Linked DNA regions of Rattus norvegicus. The protein of the gene in region 1 interacts with the protein of each later gene in a biochemical or structural test. Links are inferred from orthologs where the notes say so. Each region holds a gene or a part of one and is shown on either strand. Other genes may lie near its edges. The genes, in order: Tjp1 and Jam3.

Region 1 (4,477 bases):
CCATTTCCTACTATACAGACAGACTCTGGGCTCAACCCCCAGAATCACTGGGACACTTAAGAATAGAGAATGAAGTGTGCACTAGTTATCTATCATTGTGGCAAAATATCTGACAAGAATCACCTTACTAGGAGGAGGATTGAGTTATTTTAGTCGATGGCATAAGAAAGGATACAGGCTAGCATAGTAGGAATTGCATGGTGATCGGAGTATAATGCAGCCAGTAGTCTTTTCAGTCAGGAAGTGGAGAGAGACCATGTACTCCACAAGACTATAGAAATAATACTATCCATGGGGAGGGTCTTCTCTCCTCAGTTAAACCTATCCACAGATATGCCTCATATTGTCTCTTAGATGATTCCAAATCCAGACAACTCAGCAATAAAAGACTGATCATTACAAGGTGCTCAGCATTAATATACAGAGAAATACAAACTAAAGGAGTCAAAATGAGATACTACTAGACATCTATTAGAATAGCTAAACTCAACAATTAAAACCAATAATATCAAGAATTGTGGAGAAGACTGACTCATACATTGCTGGTGAGAAGGCATATCCAGTCAGCCATGCCCTATACAATTAACAACTAGCATAAAACCCACTGTCATTCTGTTCCTATTTAACCATGAAAAGTTATGTTCATACAAAACTATATACTAACGTGGATTTATTCATACTCAACAAAAACTGTAAACAACCTAAATGTACCATGAATTAACTATTATACACTCATACAGTGGAGTGGAATTTAGCAATAAGCAGTAATTAGATATCAATATAAACAACATTATAGAGAAGTCTCAAATGCATTTATCTAAGCATATGAAGTCAGTCTCAAAAAGCTAAGTATTACACAAATCCATTTATAAGACAGTCCAGAAAAGGTCAAAGTTTAAAACGAGAGATCAGTGGCTCAATAAGGGGGCAGAATTGACCACAAAGAGATTTGAAGGAAAGTTTTAAGGTTATAGAGTAATTCTGCATTTTTTTAAAGATTTATTCATTTATTATATATAAGTACACTGTAGCTGTCTTCAGATACACCAGAGGAGGGAGTCGGATCTCTTTACAGATGGTTGTGAGCCACCATGTGGTTGCTGGGAATTGAACTCATGACCTCTGGAAGAGCAGTCGGGTGCTCTCAACCACTGAGCCATCTCTCCAGCCTGTAATTCTACATTTTAAGTGGGATATTAGTTATGTAACTATGTCAAAACTGAGAACTGTATACTAGATGAATATGAATTTACTGTTACATAAATTATACCAATAAAAATTATACTTCTCAATATCAAAAAAGATAACGGTATTAAGAAAAATAAACGTAATACATAAAATGCTACCAACATGATAGTCAAGCAATCTAAAACTATTTTATGTCTCATAGAGACCTGATGCAGACGCTACAAGCACAATGTAAGTATTAAGCACAATGAAACAACTGAAAGTTATTTCAGCTTTACGAATTAAAAGTTAAGATACATATTATTGAAATGATTTTTCTTTAGTGAGACAGAAAAACTGCATGAAAACTTCATTTGAATAATTAACTATCACAATGTATAGATTCAAATCCTCATGAAATAATCAGGAGTAAGTGTTCAGGAACATAATTTTCCCACATCCACTTGTCAATTGCTCAGAAATAACCGTATGTGAGGCATACACCATTTAAGTAGGAGAGCCATCAGTAGTCAGCTTTGCTTAACAGAAGAAAAAAGGCAAATTTAAGGAGCCATACTTAGCAGATAAAGCATGACTTGGTGTCATTAGCCCAATAGTATTTTAATTAATTTTATTTTTTTGAGACAAGGTTTTCTACATAGCCCTGGCCATCTTGCAACCTGTTCTGTAAAACAGGCTGAGCTGTGCTACAGCACACACAGCTAATGCCTTACGGCTTTTGTTTGTGTGTGTGTGAGGGTTCCTGCAAAGGCTAGAAGAGATTATCAGATCCTTTGGAGATGGAGTTACATACAGACAGTTGTGAGCAACCAAACATGGTACCATGAACTAAACTTGAGTCTTTTTGAAGAACAGGCACTATTTCCTACTGAGCCTTGTCTCCAGCTCCTAGCCTAACTTTAAATACATAAACACTATGGTTTATAACACAGGTTGGGTTTCTTCCCCATTTCTTCCCCAGAAAAGCAAAAGACCAGTATGATTTCAAAGCTCTTATTTCCACTAGGTTTATTAATTATCTGACCTGACTGTCTGCCATGTTTATGTTGTACATGCTTCAAATGAACAGCTGTCTTTCAAGAATGTGCCCTTGGGGTTGGGGATTTAGCTCAGTGGTAGAGCGCTTGCCTGGCAGACGTAAGGCCCTGGGTTCGGTCCCCAGCTCCGAAAAAAAGGGAAAAAAAAAAGAATGTGCCCTCTTCCCAATATACATACCAACCTGCTAAGTAGCTAAGGATAATTTCGAACCTCTGACTGCCAGGTTTTCACAGATGAGAGTGTCATGTGATTCTGGGGCTAGAAGGGGGTTTCCTGCATGCTACAACCAAGCATTCCATCAACTGAGCCATGTCCTAAGCCCTCTTTCAAGATTTTAGTAGGAATATAACTTATTATTAAGCCCCAAGCATACAAATATGCATATACAATCAGTTTATAATTTAATATATAATCTTTTATCTGATCATTCAAAATTCTAAGCAAAAGAACCACTTAATTTTCAGAGATTAAAAATAACAACTATACAAGAAATAACCAAAGGATATGTGAAAAAGTAATCACGTTCACTTCTGACCTTAATGAAGAATTTATTATAAATCTAATTTTAAACAAACGAATATAGAAAAAAATTCCCCTTTCTTTTGGCTTCCTGACATCTGGCTTTCCTCTATTGTTTTCAAAGCTGCCAGTATCCTGAATTATAACCCAGATTATTTACTGCCGCAGACACTCACCCTGTGAAGCGTCACTGTGTGCTGTTCCCATATAGCTGTTTCCTCCATTGCTGTGCTCTGATAAAGGAAAAGAAAACAAAGCGTTACCTTTAAAAGAAAAAAATAAGTTTTTAATAAAGTGAAAGAAGGCATTCTGGAAACAATTCAGTACAATAAAACACCAAGACTTACACTGCTAATATTAAAAATATTCTGGAAACCAGTTAATAACTTTGAAAGGGTTGTTTGTTTTTAAGAAATAGGAAACCACACACACAGGAACTCCCTTTGTTTTAACTTAATTTGGACAGATGCCACTCTACACTTAACACAGCAGAAACAAGTTAAAGCTAGCAAATTCAGCAACTTTATGCTTAACATCAAACAGACAAGAATAAAAGTTGCAACAGTTTTAAATTATCCAAGTGGACATTTAAGAGCATTTTTCATGTTGCATTCAGCAAGAAAAGGTAAAATACCTCTGAACTCAGTATTTGTAAATACATGTTCCCGAAAAGGATTTAGACCTCTTATAGGTTTAAAGTCACAAGCAATACTAGTCTATTCAGTTTCAGTTTTATGTCAGAATTACTTCCTCTAACTTCACGTTCATACAGAAAAAGGCTTTTGTTACGCATATCATAAACATGCATCTAAAAAAATTAAAACAAAACTCTCAAGGCCCCAATCCCCCTAGAACCATAAACAATCAATGTTAAGTTTCAGTGTAGATCCTAGCCAGACCACGGGGTAGCTGAACTTTATCTCCTACCATTAATCTCTCATGGAAATAATAAGATGACCTGAAAGTTAAACATTACAAATTTAAAAACAAATTTCCTTTGTATTTGGGTAAATTGCTCTTGGTAGTTTAAAGTAACATAGTCTCTCTTAACATTACTTTTAATAAATGTATTATTATGCCTAATATGGATTTCTTTCTAAAATTTTTTCTTTCAGGGTGGTGAAGTGACTGTGGCATGGCGTATTCAGATCCTCCTTCATCACCTAGCACTGTAACTGTCTTTCATCAGTACACTCTGTCTCTGTTACATGGTTATCAGTAGCATCACAAGACTATGCACATCAAGGTGCCACAGGCCTATTTCTCTTTTCCCAGAGCAACTTTAATTGAAGATTAATGCCACTTTAGAAAATGAACTGCTATAAAGAAAGCCTGCTTCCCTAAATTCAAAGCAACTAGATTGACTTTCCTCCCAAATGAATAAGGGACGAGAGAGAAAGGACCTCTGTGTTCATTCCCATAGATAAAAACTGCCAACTCCACCAGCTTTTGTTTCAACCTTCCAATCATGAGCAGCAAAACTTTCTTTTAATGAGACTTGCCTGGAAATAAAACTTTTTTTTTTAACACAAACTAACCAGATTTTGAAACACAGAAAGACAGACAGACAGACAGACAGGCTTGGGGGGAGGAAGGGGAAGGGAGGGAGTGGGACGAAGGGAGGGAGGAAACTGCATAAAGCCTCCTCCGTCCATGTGCAACACTGACAGTGAGGGCAGATGCACTAAACATGCACAGTTCCATAACTGCCAGTCTGCAATGCCAGCTGACA
Region 2 (4,417 bases), on another chromosome or scaffold:
TCTTACATACAAATGATGATGATGATGGTGATGGTGATGATGATGATAAAATAATGAACCATTTTTAAAATGGAAAAAAAAAAGCTGGAGAGAGAGATGGCTCAGCAGTTAAGAACACTTGCTGCTCTTCCAGAGGACCCAATTTCAGTTCTCACCACCCACACCAGGCATACTATTTGTTAACTCTGTTCCTCTGGCCTCTCTGGGCACCTACAATTATTTTCACACACTCACATGCAGATATACACACATACATATAATTAAAATTATAAAAAAAAATCCAGACATGGTGGCGCTTACTTCTAATACTAGCACTTCGAGGCAGAGGCAGTTGGACTTATGAGAATTTGAAACTAGCCTGGTCTATTTAGCCTTCAAGTTCCAGGGTGGCCAGGGCTACATAAATAATACTCTGTCAAAAACAAAACAAAACAAAACAAAAAACAACAAAAAAATGGGAGACTGGGGAGATGGCTCAGCGGTTAAGAGCACTGACTGCTTTTCCAGAGGTCCTGAGTTCAATTCCCAGCAACCACATGGTGGCTCACAACCATCTGTAATGAGATCTGATGTCCTCTTCTGGTGTGTCTGAGGACAGCTACAGTGTACTTATATAATACATTTTCAGAAAAAAATTAAAAAAACGGGTAAAAAACCCTCAAGTGACAAGAATTACACTTGTACTGTGTAGGACACACTATTGGGGACACCATTAGGCTTCAGGTCTACCAGAGAAATGAATCATACTTATATAGCATGTTATTATATTTATTTAGTGGGTATATCTTGCTAATGTTTATTCAGATTTCAGCATTTTCTCCTTTCATTACATATGGTATCAGGGGCCCTACAGGTGTGAAAATACTACTGTTTTAAAAAAAAACTATATGGCCATATCTTTATTTGTAAAATAATTTCTCTAATAAAAAATGGTTTATTTTATTTCATGTGCATGAGTGTTTTGCCTGCATGTATGTATGCACACCACAGACACGTTTAGTGCCGTCAGAGGTCAGAAGAGGGTGTCAGATTGCTTGGAACTGGAGTTAAAGATGGTGTGAACCACAATATGGGTGCTGGGAATGGAATCCGGGCCGTTGAAGAGCAACAGGTGCTCTTCTCTGCTGAGCCATCTCTCCAGCCCCATCATGCCTAAATTTTAATGGAGTAATCCTTCTTAGATCTGTAGCGATAATCTACAGTTTCATAAATCTACCCCGCTTCCTTCCCAGACACGCTTTTTAATTCTCCTCCGGCTAAGTTCATTGACAGAGGTAGCACCTGGAAGCGCTGAGCATCGTTGCATCCATAGCAACCAGACTGGAGCTTTCTCGGTCACTATGGTGCCGGCTAGGCCGGGCCGCGTGGTCGCTATGGAAACTGGAGGCGGGTCGCAGGGTCTAAGCAGTGTGAGCGCATGCGCACGAGGCCAGTTCTACGCTCCAAGCCTGAGCCCCTCACATTCCCCTCGACATGGCGCTGAGCCGGCGGCTGCGACTTCGCCTGTGCGCGCGGCTACCCGACTTCTTCCTGCTGCTGCTCTTCAGGGGTGAGTTGACGCTTCAGTGCGGCTGGGAAGTGTGGTCTGTGACGATGGGGACAGAGCGACCCGGGCCGCGGTGGAATAGCGGTTTCTGCGCCCAGGACTCCAGGTCCGGCCGAGGAGCTGAGGGGTGGCCTCTGCCGGAGCGTGGCGGGCGCGGCTCAGCGGGCTGTCGGGTCCGGTCTCAGGCTGACCCGCGTGGATGCGACTGGTCCCGGACAGGGACACGGCCCTCTAGAAGGACCGTGGCAGCTGCCTCACGGGCTCTAAAACTTGCTGGAGAAAACACCCCATCAGTATTGTGGTACCCAGAAGTCGTGGACGACGAGCAGCTAGGGAAGCTCCAGAGGCCTGTCCTCCCGGGAGCTGCTGGGGTCAACAAAGAAGCTGAACTGGGCAAGGCCCGCCATCCTTGTGCGGAGATGGGGGCTGCATAGGGATAAGCACCTTTGTTGCAGCGTGGTGGAGACCCTGACTCCCAAGTAGCACCAGGGTCATTTTGATCCCAACACCCTGCTAAACTTGAAAGTTCTGCTCATTTCTTTCTAGTGGAATTCCTGGGAGACACTATTTCCCTGGTCTGTGGGGCAAAAGCACTGTAAAGTTTACTTTGCAGTTAACTTTCCATAAATACCACAGGGCACTTTGAAGCTATTATCTCAGTTCTTAAAACAGCTCAGTGAAGTGGGTTCACAAACTTGGTTTGTGAACCCAATTTTCAGAGGCTAATAGTCTTCTTAAAAATTTTTTTTTTTAATTTCAAAACTGAGGGGCCACACAAGTAGTGCCAAACTTAAGGTTGCATAAGACTCCACTCCTTACTCAGAAGGTAACCCAACCCGGACCACTCCTCAACCCTTGGCTTGTTCCTTGGATTTGTTGCCGCCCACGATGCTCTCCAAGATATACAAATTAATACACCAAAGCCCTGTTGGGAGGCGGGGTGGTCAGGCAAGAAAACAAAGCGGTTTTGTGTTTGATGCTTATTCTAGTGGGGTGCGCAGAGTGGTGGTGGAAAACAGGGGTTCTGGTGCTGAAATATTGGAAACAGGCTTCTGTAGTAAGGATGACCCTTAGCCCGTATTTGTGACCATATATTTTGCTTGATTTAGAAAATTTAAAACCAAATGCAGTTGGGAGATAGAGCTGAGCAGAGGCTAGCCAGGAGAGAGGAGTGTCAGGAATGTCCTGCTCCCACAGTGTCCGTCACACTGACATGTCCTGACACGTCCTATTCACAGACCAGAACAACTCCCTATTGTTGAAGAGATTTGCTAACATGAAAATCTGCAGCTTTTATTGGAGAAACAGTTTGCAGTTGACTTCAGGGATACATTCCTGCTTGGTGATTTGTTAGTAAAAAGCAGAAACTGCTAAGGGCTCATTGCGGATGTTACCCCTCAGGTGGGGCTAATTTGGTGGGTTTCTTGGTATTGAGGGAAAGGAAAGAGTTTCCTATTATATAGCTTTTAGCTTACGTATACCTGAACGCTGTAGGTACTCTTGGGACTGGAGAGAGAGCTCAGTGGTTACAGAGGGGTAGGCCGGCAGAGGACCCAAGTTCTGTTCATAGCACCCAAGTTGGTGACTCAAACAGCAAGGGGGTCCAGCCTCAGAGGATCTGACAAGCTTTTCTGAGCTCTGTAGGCACTCACATTCATACATGTATATGGTCCCTTCACACATAAGTAAAAGTAAAACCTTTAAAAACATGTCATCTTCATAGGGGACAGCTGTGCCTTTTTAATTTTTAGGATTATGCTTTTCACTTGGTATCATTACCGTTTCCGTTTAAAATTGCCAGCTCCTGCCTGCTGTGACGAGTGCTTGCAATCCCAATGCCGTGAAGGCCGAGGCAGGAGGATCACTGTGAGCTTTTTTATTCTGGGATATACAGTGAGTTCTAGGTTACCCTGGGGGCAGAGCGAGACCACAAAAAATTTACAAGTTCCAAGTTGGATGTGGTGGCACATGCCTGTAATCCCAGGATTTGAGGGGCAGAGAGAGGCAGGAGGACCACTGCCAGTTCTTCAAGGCCAGCCTAGACAGAGACCATATTTCAAAAATTAAAAAGAAAAAAAAAGGTAATTTCAAACATAGTAAACATTCCATGTAATTGCTTTTTGCTGGGCTGTATTAGGACAACTTAGTGTGAATTATTTCATTTTGATAAGACTGTGTTACTGGTTCTCTTGTTCTGTGTATGAAGAAACAAGCATGCAGAGGTAAACTTAGAAGTCTCTAGTCTGTGCCAGTTCGGTCTTTGGCCGCTTGTTTATTGTATTCGACAGTGGCAATTCTTATTATGGATCAGTTTAGGGAAATTATCACGCGTTCAAAGACGGACTGTTTGTATATGTATAATATTCCTTTGTGAGATCGGTGACTGGCATGATTCAGCCTTACAGATGATATGCCTCCTCCCCCTTTTGAGTGCTTATGTAGCAAGTCAGTAACTTTCCAGAATTTTTGGTGTGCCAGAGAGAAGACTTTATTTAGAACTGGAACAACAGTTTGTACTCTTGAAGACAGTTTGCGAGATGAAACGTACAGGAATTCCGGACCAACTATTCCAATTCTTCCGTTTACTTGGACTCCTGAACCATGGTTTAGAGTGGCCTACATGGATCGATTGATTGCTTGATTGAACTCAGGGCCCTGAACAGATAGCCTCTACCCTTTTACGGCATTTTAATTCCTTTTGATTACTTGATTGTCACAGTCATTGGCAGGGTCGTACCTGTACTTTTAAGAGAAAGAAAGGACAGCTGATCCCAAAACTTGGATCTGCTTCTCATCTTCAAATGACTTGTCTGTGGTCACAATGCAGGCTGAGGAGACCGAATGGGTGTCTGCTAGAGATCTTAGTCATTA

Evidence for each region.
Region 2: the proteins of Tjp1 (region 1) and Jam3 form a complex in vitro, tested with the Homo sapiens proteins (2 studies listed by BioGRID and IntAct, with this or other methods). The link is inferred for Rattus norvegicus from reciprocal best matches to the Homo sapiens genes TJP1 and JAM3.

Annotation. Positions count from the first base shown.
Region 1 is NC_086019.1:128,322,381-128,326,857, forward strand, and holds the start of Tjp1 (tight junction protein ZO-1), read right to left. Parts: upstream 2,981-4,477; 5' UTR 2,979-2,980; coding exon of another isoform or gene 2,970-2,978; coding exon 2,922-2,969; intron 1-2,921. UniProt on the Homo sapiens protein: TJP1, TJP2, and TJP3 are closely related scaffolding proteins that link tight junction (TJ) transmembrane proteins such as claudins, junctional adhesion molecules, and occludin to the actin cytoskeleton.
Region 2 is NC_086026.1:33,825,491-33,829,907, reverse strand, and holds the start of Jam3 (junctional adhesion molecule C precursor), read left to right. Parts: upstream 1-1,456; 5' UTR 1,457-1,473; coding exon 1,474-1,549; intron 1,550-4,417. UniProt on the Homo sapiens protein: Junctional adhesion protein that mediates heterotypic cell-cell interactions with its cognate receptor JAM2 to regulate different cellular processes. Plays a role in homing and mobilization of hematopoietic stem and progenitor cells within the bone marrow.